Linked DNA regions of Cricetulus griseus. The protein of the gene in region 1 interacts with the protein of each later gene in a biochemical or structural test. Links are inferred from orthologs where the notes say so. Each region holds a gene or a part of one and is shown in the gene's direction. Other genes may lie near its edges.

Region 1 (3,707 bases):
TTCTAGGTTGTGTCAAGTTGGCCGTTAAAACCAATCTGATGAAAGGAAAGCAGAAGTCACAGGGTTGCAAAAGGGTGTAGTTAAGTTTGTATCCTTTCCCTGTAAATGGAATTTCTGGTGAGATTGCTAAAAAATAGTATGTTTCCAGCCTGGAAGTAAGAAAAGCCTTAAACAATCGGTAATTCTCTGCTAGAGATGGCTTCAGCTGGATGTAGAGGTGACAGGGTCCTGTCTCTTCCCAAGTCCCTCAAAGGTGCCTGGCTTTTCTATTCTGCCTTACCACCCACTCCAAATCCCTAGACAAGCCAGGACACTTACTCTAGTAACCATAACGGTACATCCATGGTAAGCGGAAAGGCAGAAGCCTGACATCTCAGTACTCGGAGGCTGATGCAGGGGGATTGCCATAAACTTCCATTTTCCAAGATGGGATTTCTCTCTCTAAGACTAGGTTGTCCGGGCACTGCCTCTGCCTCCCGAGCGCCGGGATTAAAGACAGGGTCACTAACGCCCATGGAGGCGGCGATGGTTTGAGTCTAGCTTGGGCTGGGGGTGGCGGCGCTCGCCTGCACCCGCAGCACCCGGGAGATAGAGGCAGGCGGGTCTCTCAGGAAAACAGCCTAGCAACAGACAGTAGCTCCGATTCCGGGCTGTGACGCAGGGAGCTGCAGCACGTGACCAGCTCCGTGCCACGTGACCCGCCTCGGCGTCACCGGGGTCCGCCACCGCCCCGCCAGGCCCCACGCGGGCCCAGCTCGCGGCGTCTCAGACAGACTTCCGGTCTTCCGGACGCCGCCGAGGTCAGCTTCTCCAACGACCCGGGTGTGCCCGCCCCGTGTGACGCCACTTCCGCTCCGTCGCTTGGCCGGCGCTCAGGCGCACGCGCAGCACGGGCACGCGGAGGCCATGGGTTCCTTCTGCGCAGGCGTCGTGGCCCCGAGGGCGGGTCCTGTGCGCGCCGCGGTGCGCAGGCGCAGCCGTCGGTGGGTCGGGGCTTCGGTCGACTGAGAGGTGAGTTGGGGGGCTCGCCGTGCCCCGAGGGGCGTGGGCGTCGGTGGCTCGGGGTGCGCGGCGCTCGGGAGCCGCTAAGGTAAAGGTGGCTCGGGGCCCGCCCTCCGGCGCCCCACCGGTCACGTGAGCGGGCGGCGCAGCGGGGAAACTGAGTCCGGCGGCGCCCCCGGCGCTCCTTGTGGAGAGAAGGCCGGCGTTTGGGTGTGGGCCCTCCGCATCCTCGGGGTGCCCCGGGCTTCGCCGCTCGCCAGCGTCGTGACCTTGCTCTGTCGGTTTCCCTCCTGTGTCGAGTGGACGTGGTCACCGCTGCCGTTCCGAGCGGTGTGGTGCTTGTCGGGCACCGGGGGGGTGGGAGCGTGGGGTGGAGGGCGAGGGCCTCCGTCTGCCTGCGGTGCATACTGGGGCAGGTGGCTTGCCCTCTCTGGACGGCTGTGAGGCAGGTGTGCTGGCGCACTGGAGGCTGAGGGAGGAGTTCCATGCCAGCCAGGACTGTACACAGGATTCAAAAGAGCTGTGACCAAAAACAAGGGCCCTAGAGAATGGCTCAGGTCCTTGGTCCTTAACCTGTAACTCAGTATTGCATTTGGGAGGGTGTGGCACTTGAATCACCGGGACTTCAGGCCTAGCCTGGGCTATCTGGAGAGTTTCAAGGCCCAGCCTGGGCTATCTGGAGAGTTTCAAGGTCCAGCCTGGGCTACCTAAGAAGTTCAAGTTACATGGACCACATTGTGAGAACAGTTGATTTTAGTTTGTTGAGACAGTTTTTGTGTGTCCCTGGCTGTCCTTGAACTCTCTGTGTAGACAAGGCTGGCCTCAGACTCCCCCCTCTTCCCAGCATTAAAGTGTACCCCACTACACCTGACATCATAATTAATTTTGAAAAGGATTTTAAAATAGCCGGTAGTTCAGTTGTAAGCTGCCTGTCATCCCGTCCGTGGGAGGCTGAGACTGGAAGATGGGAATGAAGTTCGAGGCCGTCTTGAGCTACATAGTAGATCTTTGTCTCTCAAAAACCAGGCCTGCAGTTCCATGCCTTTATTGCCAACACTTGGGTGGCACCGGCAGGTGGATCTCTGAGTTCAAGGCCACCCTGGTCTACAGACAGAAACCGTGTCTCAAAAAAAACCCAAACAAGAAAATGAAAAAACACCACCTCCAATGAAACCAAAACAAGCCAACTGAAATTGTTGTGAATGTCTCTGTCACCCGGAGGGTAAATGTCCCGAAGTTTCCTTAGCTAGCATCCTATAGGCCTGTCAGCCTTGGTGGGGTGCTGGAGAGGACACAGGGTCCCCACTGGCTATTATGCTTTGGTCTGTTCCTGTCTCTGGTTATTTGTTTGAGTGATCTTTCCTTTTTCTGGCTATTCTTGTCCCCAGGAACCCTGGGCAGTGTCTGGGGACACTTGTGATTGCTGTGACTGAAAGGGCTTCAGACTTCTGACACTGAGTGGAGGTCAGGAGCGTGGTCCAGAATGAAGGGTGCTCCTGGTGGGGAGGAGAAGCAGCCGAATTTGGTTCCATACACCCACCCATGTAAAAAGCCATAAGTGGTAATCTCAGTGTGGGAGGTCAGAGACCGACAGGTCACTGGGCCCTCTGGATAGCCAGCCTTACCTTGTTCAACCCCATGTCCCAGGGTCAGACGCTGTTTTCTGTTTTTTATTTTTTTCTTTTTCCCCCCGGAGACAGAGTTTCTCTGTGTATCTTTGTAGACCAGAATGGCCTCAAACTCAGAGAGGTCCGTCCCTCCTGCCTCTGCTGGGATTAAAGGCGTGGCTTGTTTCCATTCAAGACAGGGCTGCTGCTGGGAATAAAGGCAAGCCTCACCATCACCCGGTTAGACACTGTTTCTAAAAAATGAGGTGGTATCTGGAGGAAGGACACCTAGGTTGACTGGAGTGTGAACACTGAAACCGATGCATGCATGAGCATGCCAGTAAAGAAGCATACCTGTAATTCCAGCACTCAAGGGGCAGACACGGGAGGATTGCCTTAGATTTGAGTTTCCCCTGGGGTACATAGTGAGCTCTAGTGTTAAAGATGAAACCCTAGCCCAGTGGCTCATCAGTATTGAGGCATCTGCACAGATTATGTGGGTCCCAAGATTGTGTGTGCACCTACTTTTGTGGGGTAAGGGATTATCTGTGGACTCTGCCCCTGGAGCCACTGTCTGAGGTCCCAGCTGCTGCTTCCTGTCTGGGCATTGGCTCTGTCAGGTGAGTTGTATTGCAAGCCCTTCCTGTTGTTTTGATTTGAAACTGGGTCCCCCTCATTCCAGGGCTATCTGTATGCTGGGTGAACACTGCCCACTGGGACCCAGTCCAGGGACCTCACCAGACTCTTCAATGGATTTGAGCCTTGTGTTCAAGCTGAGAAGTTACCACACTGACCTTGCTTGTAAACTTGTTGGGAGGGGGAAGACAAAGACATACTATAGGCCAGGCTAGCTTTACACTCTAGCAATTGTCCCCCTACAGCCTCCCATATGCTGGGGTGACAGCAGGAGGCCTGGCTATAAGTGGGAGGATGAGTCTTACCGGTTCAGTGTTCTGATGATCCCCAAAGTGCATGCACATACTGGTTAGCTGGGTGCCCAGAAAGTTCCAGTCCTACCAAAGACTTGAGCCAAGCATTTATCATAGCGCTTTCTGGCGGGGATTGTGACTCCCGGCAGGTCACCTCTGACCCACATCA
Region 2 (3,744 bases), on another chromosome or scaffold:
GGGGGGAGCTACCTCTTCAGTCTCCTCCTTGGAGGAGATGTCACCCTGGCCATCTCCATGACTTTCATCTCAACAGTAGCTGCCACAGGTTTCTTGCCACTTTCATCAGCCATCTACAGCCGCCTTCTCAGCATCCATGAAACACTCCACGTGCCCATCTCCAAGATACTGGGGACTCTGCTGTTCATCGCCATCCCCATAGCAGCAGGTGTGGTAATCAAGTCTAAGCTCCCTAAGTTCTCAGAGCTGCTGCTACAGGTCATCAAGCCCTTCAGTTTTGTACTTCTCCTGGGTGGCCTATTCCTGGCCTACCACATGGGGGTCTTCATCTTAGTGGGAGTCAGGTTACCCATCGTACTGGTGGGCTTCACAGTGCCCCTGGTTGGCCTTTTGGTGGGCTACAGCCTAGCCATGTGCCTGAAGCTGCCAGTGGCCCAGCGGCGGACAGTCAGCATTGAGGTAGGGGTACAAAACAGCTTGCTAGCTTTAGCTATGCTGCAGCTGTCTCTGCGTCGCCTTCAAGCAGACTATGCCTCTCAGGCCCCCTTCATTGTGGCACTGAGTGGTACCTCCGAGATGCTGGCTTTGGTTATTGGCCAGTTCATCTACAGCAACTTGTTTCCTGTTCCATGAGGACCCTGGATCAAGTTTTATAACCCCAGCCCCCATACTCCATCCACTGTCCCCACAGTTCTGTACCAAAGGCCTTTTGTTCTCATGCACTATGCACTCAGACAAATCCAGGCTTTTTTTTTCCAGCTTTCAGTGCCAAAGAGGCCATGCTGAGTTAGAAATATATTTCAATAAAAGACAAAAGCAAGCTTGGGTCCCTTCCAGTCTTTGTCCCTTGGAGTGTATGGATGGGGATAGGAAGAGTGTGTCTGGGTTGATATGGACCAGGATGGTGAACAGGCTTGGTGACCGTGCACAGAGCCCACTCTCTCCTTCCTCTGTGCTTTGCACATGGTAGACAAGTGTTGTACCTTTGAGCTATATCTCCAGATCTGCAAAGGCTTTTCTCTATCAGAACAGGGCAGGACTCTGTTCTATAATGAGTGAAGAGATAGAGGCCTAGGTCCACTACTTTGGAGCCTCGGCCAGGATATTTTTGCAACCAGACTAGAAAGGAAGAAGTAGAAAGCCATTGGGCTATGGCAGGTAGGACTGGACCATTTCTGTATCTGAGAGACACTACTACATGTTTGCCCTGATGTGGTCCACCAGCAGGGTAGGAATTAACAGGTCAGGCCTTGCATGAGGCTGACATTCTGGTCCTTCCTTTCAAGCCACAGCTCCCCGGTGAAGCAAGCCTGACCCTACAGATTCCTCGCTCCTATCCCAGTGGGCGGAATGGCCCCACTTCCCTGCACCAAAGCCGCTGGAGGCTTGTGGGCCCAGGGCGGTGGACGCTACCCCAGGCTCAGGCAGGCGCAAAGGCCTGGAGGCGGGACCGGGCGGGAGCCACGCGGCGGGCTCGCCCCTTTCACGGCTTCCGGCGGCGGCGGGCGGTTCCGGCGCGCGCCCGGGGCAGCGGCGCGCGGCAGGGGACCATTGGGGTTTACATTGGTCCTAGTGGACGCGGCTGTGGGCATCATGCAGCTGACCGTGAAGGCGCTCCAGGGCCGGGAGTGCAGCCTACAGGTAAGGTTACCCTGCAGGCTGCTACACTCACACACTCCTGCCGCTGGGGCCAATGGCGGGCGGGGGAGGCCAGGAGAGCTAACCTCAGGAGGGGGCACTAGGGCTGCATCGCCCAGGGAATTCGGACTAAGCCCTTGCCTCTCCACCTCGGCCGGATCAGGTGCCGGAGGACGAGCTAGTGTCTACACTGAAGCATCTGGTCTCGGATAAGCTGAACGTCCCTGTGCGCCAGCAACGTCTGCTGTTCAAGGGCAAGGCCCTAACAGGTAACCAGGGAAAGGAGCCATCCAGGGACCCCCCACAGGAAGTAGGAAGTTGGAAGTTGGGGGACGGGATGTACAGGCCAGTGTAATGGATTAGAGCAGTGGCTGCCACTAAACCTTGGAAAAGTAGCTGAGACGCCACCACCCCATAGCCAGATGCTGCAGTGTTTCACTCTAGCTGTCCATGGCAGGATTGCTCTCTGGCCACCCCCACAACAATGAGGAAGGAACCCCACCAATCTCTCTTTGGCAGATGAGAAACGACTGTCAGATTACAACATTGGGCCCAATTCTAAACTCAACCTAGTCGTTAAACCTTTGGAGAAGGTGCTGCTGGAAGAAGGGTCTGCCCACAGACTGGTCGACTCCCCACCCCCACCCCTCTGGCAGCTGATCTCCAAAGTCCTGGCCCGTCACTTCAGTGTAGCAGATACCAGCAGGGTCCTGGAACAACTACAGAGGGTGAGCAGAATAATTCTGGACCTCCAATCTTAATGTTTCTAGCCCCAGCCCCCACCTATTACAGCATACCCCTTCCTGCTTGCACCCCCTGAACCCACCTGGTCTTCTCTTCTCAGGATTATGACAGATCTCTGAGCCGCCTAACACTGGATGACATTGAACGTTTGGCCAGCCGCTTTCTACACCCTGAAGTAACTGAGTCTATGGAAAAAGGGTTCTCCAAATAGCATTTCTGGGAGTGGGGGGAGAAATCCCAGGTCAGGCCACAGCTGCATGTTGCATTAAATGTGTTCTCATGTCGCAGTTTGGCTCATAGTGATAATAATAGCTGGTATGTACCCAGTTCTTGCTAGGTGCTAAGCACTACTCAAAGTACTTGGCCTGAATTCTCTTCTGCCTTCCACAGGACAGTTGAGGCTGCACTGTAGAAACACCTAGCAATGGCTTGGGACAGCCAGAATCCAAGTCTAGCCAGCTGTAGAAGTGCCTCTGTAGGAGAAAGAGTGTGTTGTTTTGAGGGATGGGCCTTAACATTCCCATTTAGCCCACTCAACATACACACTCAAGTGACTCCCTCAGGAAGCCACTAGTCCCTGTCACCTGTCCTCTAGTATGTCTGGCATACCCTTGGCAAATCTCCATAGGAAGCCAAGTGGTAGCCATCCAGAGTCCCTCTGCTGCTGCAGCCAGTGTGCTCTTGATGAATGACAAAGTCAGGGGCTGGAGGATCAGAAAGATACCCTAGCTCCGTTGTATGGCTTAAGTCAAGTTTCTGTGCCACTTAGGTCCCCTACCATTGAGTCTGTTAGTGGTGACCACTCCTCTGACCTGAATAAGTTTCCTTCCCTCTTTCCCGGCTCAAGGTGGGAGTCTGCTATCACCAACTGCAGTGCCATCTTGTGTTCAGTAAGCAAACTGAAGCCAAAAGTGAAGTGGTAGCCAAGCATGGGCCACAGATGGAATATCCTGGGCCTTTGTGACATAGCTCTTCTTGGGGGGACCCTATCTGCTTGGCTCCTCCTGGAAGTCGGTCTCATCCATGAGGGACAGCAGGTGACTCCACAAAGCAGTGTCACAACTAGGATTCTTCCTGGGTCTCCTCACCCAGCGTTCTCCCACAGCATGAGACGGATGCTTCCTCTGCCACCTGTGTACAGGGACTTTCAGTTTGCACACCTTCATTGCTTAAGAAGAAACTCAGGGTGCTGAGGAGGAGATAGAAATGTAAGCTGAAGACAGTGGTTCTTCTTTTCACTGAACCTATGCCTGGGTGCTAAAGGTCATGTAAGTACTAGCTCCTTTGAGGAGGACCCCCTGGGAGCAGTTGAGGCTGGAAGATAGCCACCTGCAGGACATTACTCCTGCCCCTCCACTCTTG
Region 3 (3,644 bases), on another chromosome or scaffold:
CTGCTGGCCCAGCTCCAGCGGGCCCAACACCTGCGCCAGAGACAAACGCACCCAAGTAAGAGATGGAGAGAACCTTTGTGGACTTGGAAGGCAGAGTGGTCATGGGTGTAGTGTGAGGACCAGGAAGGACATGAAGGGAGGAAAGTGGTTGCTGGGGGTCTTAATGGTCTTAGTGTTGTGGGATCAAAGGACATCTCTCGTGTAGCACTATTGTCTCTGAGGCAAGATGATCTGGATGCCTCCCGAGCTGTGGTTTGCAGAGGCCTAGTCTGGTTCTGAGCCCCTCTTTGCCTCCTTTGCACAGGACCATACTGGGACATGGGAGCATTGCTTTCTTCTCACCGTCCTTTGCTTGTCTTAGGAGAGCAAAGAGAATACCTGGGGAATGGCAGGGGGTCCCTGGGGACAGGCTCAGCTCAGTGCCTTGGTGTTTCCACAGCCACCCTTCCCCTGCGGAGCATGTGGAGGTGCTCCAGGAGCTGCAGCGCCTACAGCGCCGTCTTCAGCCCTTCCTGCAGCGCTACTGTGAGGTCCTAGGCGCTGCTGCCACTACAGACTACAACAACAACGTGAGCCTTGGGGTGGCCTTCTTCCCTCATACCTGGAAGCAGCAGGTTGAGATGCAGATAGCTCTTCCCTGTCCTCAGGGTTAGCACAGAAATCCCTCTCTCTAGACGAGTGGTCTGCGGTGATGGGAATGGTGACAGTCTTTGGTCCTATTGTGTCACTAATTGTTTAGGAAGCATACAGAGTGGAAAGGAATTATACCTGGTTACTTAACCTTTGCTGTGTTTTTGTGGAAAATTCTTTATGTATATTGAATAGAAATTGAAAATTGAAAAGCTTTGGTTCATGTAGATGCTTCCAAAGACAGAGGACATGGCAGTCTCAGAAGGCATCATCCCTATTAATATCCTGCTTTTCTGGGTTTGACCTGGGCACAGCATGAGGGCCGTGAGGAGGACCAGAGGTTGATCAACTTGGTGGGGGAGAGCCTTCGGCTCCTGGGCAACACTTTCGTGGCACTGTCTGATCTGCGCTGCAATCTAGCCTGTGCACCCCCCCGGCACCTGCATGTGGTACGGCCCATGTCTCACTACACGACCCCCATGGTGCTCCAGCAGGCAGCCATCCCTATTCAGGTGGGTTCACGGAGCCTGGCTGGAGGGAGAATGGGCAGGGTAGCATCTGATGACCCAAATGGCTGCTGGGAGGCTAGAAAGCAAGAAAACTGTGGTGACAGAGCATGTGGCATCTCTGGAGGTGGCTCTTGGGGTGGTCTGGGTTAGGCCCCTGTGTTTGTCTCATGTCTGCCTGTTCTCTCTTCCAGATCAATGTGGGGACTACTGTGACCATGACGGGCAATGGGGCCAGACCTCCGCCAACTCCCAATTCGGAGGCAGCATCCCCAGGCTCTGGTCAGGCCTCTTCCCTGCCTCCATCTTCTACCACTGTTGATTCATCAGCTGAAGGAGCTCCCCCACCGGGGCCAGCTCCACCACCAGCTGCCAGCCATCCACGGGTCATCCGGATTTCCCACCAGAGCGTGGAGCCTGTGGTTATGATGCACATGAACATTCAAGGTGAGCTGGGGGTAGTTGCTGGCAGAAAAGAGCAGCCAGGGCGGGAAAGGGCGGGAGGGAGGTGCTTTGTGGGAGGAGAGCCAAGCCTTCTTGTTGCAGGGGACAAAAGGGGACAAAAGGCCTGAGAGTGGTGATGTCAGGAGGTACGGCCAGGCCTTGGCCCTGCCATTCTTACATTTCTGGCTGTCTTTCCGGCTCAGATCCTGGATCACAGCCGGGTGGTGTCCCGAGTGCTCCCACTGGTCCCCTGGGACCTCCAGGTCATGGACAGACCCTGGGTAAGAATGAGGTTATCAGAGCAGGCTGAGAGCTCTGGGTAGAAAAGGGGTAGGGCTGAGTGGTGGGTGGGTTGAAGGGGTCCAGGTTCAAGGTTACATCAGACCCACCCCCCAGGCTCCACCCTCATCCAGCTGCCCTCCCTGCCCCCTGAGTTCATGCACGCCGTCGCCCACCAGATCACTCATCAGGCCATGGTGGCAGCAGTTGCCTCCGCGGCCGCAGGTAATAAGCTGGGAGGGGAGGCCTGGGAGGCGGGGCCTAGTTCATGGTGGTGGGTTTTGTCTGCTGACAGGCGGGGACTGAACCCTCAGCCCTCTTTGGTCTCTTTCTGTCCACAGGACAGCAGGTGCCTGGCTTCCCAACAGCACCAACTCGGGTGGTGATTGCCCGGCCCACTCCTCCACAGGCTCGGCCTTCCCATCCTGGGGGTCCTCCAGTCTCTGGGACTCTGGTGAGCAATGGTTGGGGAGTACCAGTGGGAAAAATCCTGGCGGATTGTGTGGTGGGGGGCAAGACTGAATGCTTTTCCTGTCCCCCAGCAGGGCTCTGGACTGGGTACAAATGCTTCACTGGCCCAGATGGTGAGCGGCCTTGTGGGGCAGCTTCTTATGCAGCCTGTCCTTGTGGGTGAGTCGTGTTCTTTCCTAGCTCAAACTTGCATGCTTGGGTTGCTATGAGTTCAAGAACATCCTAGACTGTTGACTTAATTTCTAAGATAGCTTGGGCTACTGAGGAAGATTTTGGGGCAAAGGGACATCCATGTTTACTGTGTTGATGGTCCTCTGTCCTGCTCTGTATGTCCTAGTCCTCATAGAACATCTTAGTTCTTGTTTTTCTGCTGGAAAGACTAGAACGGGCAGTTTTAATCTGGTTTTTGTACAAATTGTACTTTTTTTTTGGTTCCTGACAGCTCAGGGGACTCCAGGAATGGCTCCTGCTCCGGCTCCGGCTCCAGCTCCGGCTCCGGCTCCGGCTCCAGCTCCGGCTCCAGCCACGGCTCCGGCTGCAGCTACAGCCACAGCTCCAGCTCCTGCTCCAGCTCCAGCTCCTGCCACTGCTTCAGCTAGTGCTGGCACTACAAACACAGCTACAACAGCTGGCCCTGCTCCTGGGGGTCCTGCACAGCCCCCACCTCCTCAGCCCTCTGCCGCTGACCTTCAGTTCTCTCAGCTCCTGGGGAACCTGCTGGGGCCTGCAGGGCCCGGGGCTGCTGGGCCTGGCATGGCTTCTCCCACCATCACTGTTGCAATGCCTGGTGTTCCTGCTTTTCTCCAGGGCATGACCGATTTCTTGCAGGTGAGTGGCTGTCCTTCTGCCCTTTTGTCCCCCAGCCCAGTAGAGCAGTGGTACTTTATTGCCAATCTGTAGCTGCTGAGTAGCAGCTGTAGAGATGTGAGAGGGGGAGGGCCTGCCTGAAAATCAGCGCTGTCCCTGTTTCCTGGTCTGACCCATTCAGAGGCAGGGAGGTAGTTACTTGGTTTCTGGTTTCATGCCCTCTGTTGAGTGTCTGTCCCTGAGTGTTCTGGCTTAAGAAGTTAAGATCAGAGCCAGTTTGCTGCTCTTGCAGAGGGACCTGGGTTGGATTTCCAGAACCCACATGATGGTTCACAACCATCTGTAACTCCAGTTTAAGGGATCTGTTTCCCTCTTCTGGTCCCCATGGAAACCAGGCACACATGTTTCACAGACATATAGGCAGGAAGAATGCCTATACACATTAAATATAGTTATTAAAAATAGGTGGTGGTTGTTTTAAGTCAAGATCAGAATCTAGCTCTTGCT

The links.
Region 2: the proteins of Sgta (region 1) and Ubl4a form a complex in vitro, tested with the Homo sapiens proteins (3 studies listed by BioGRID, with this or other methods). The link is inferred for Cricetulus griseus from reciprocal best matches to the Homo sapiens genes SGTA and UBL4A.
Region 3: the proteins of Sgta (region 1) and Bag6 form a complex in vitro, tested with the Homo sapiens proteins (4 studies listed by BioGRID, with this or other methods). The link is inferred for Cricetulus griseus from reciprocal best matches to the Homo sapiens genes SGTA and BAG6.

What each region holds. Positions count from the first base shown.
Region 1 is NC_048598.1:101,842,353-101,846,059, reverse strand, and holds the start of Sgta (small glutamine-rich tetratricopeptide repeat-containing protein alpha), read left to right. Parts: upstream 1-855; 5' UTR 856-1,011; intron 1,012-3,707. UniProt on the Homo sapiens protein: Co-chaperone that binds misfolded and hydrophobic patches-containing client proteins in the cytosol. Mediates their targeting to the endoplasmic reticulum but also regulates their sorting to the proteasome when targeting fails.
Region 2 is NC_048604.1:1,347,406-1,351,149, forward strand, and holds the start of Ubl4a (ubiquitin-like protein 4A), read left to right. Parts: upstream 1-1,479; 5' UTR 1,480-1,593; coding exon 1,594-1,641; intron 1,642-1,801; coding exon 1,802-1,907; intron 1,908-2,157; coding exon 2,158-2,366; intron 2,367-2,482; coding exon 2,483-2,557; coding exon of another isoform or gene 2,558-2,593; exon of another isoform or gene 2,594-3,229; coding exon 3,230-3,346; 3' UTR 3,347-3,744. Other genes in the region: Slc10a3 (P3 protein), read left to right, coding at 1-633. UniProt on the Homo sapiens protein: As part of a cytosolic protein quality control complex, the BAG6/BAT3 complex, maintains misfolded and hydrophobic patches-containing proteins in a soluble state and participates in their proper delivery to the endoplasmic reticulum or alternatively can promote their sorting to the proteasome where they undergo degradation.
Region 3 is NW_023276806.1:231,665,114-231,668,757, forward strand, and holds part of Bag6 (large proline-rich protein BAG6), read left to right. Parts: coding exon 1-55; intron 56-439; coding exon 440-569; intron 570-944; coding exon 945-1,142; intron 1,143-1,330; coding exon 1,331-1,583; intron 1,584-1,783; coding exon 1,784-1,861; intron 1,862-1,976; coding exon 1,977-2,084; intron 2,085-2,200; coding exon 2,201-2,313; intron 2,314-2,401; coding exon 2,402-2,489; intron 2,490-2,772; coding exon 2,773-3,158; intron 3,159-3,644. UniProt on the Homo sapiens protein: ATP-independent molecular chaperone preventing the aggregation of misfolded and hydrophobic patches-containing proteins.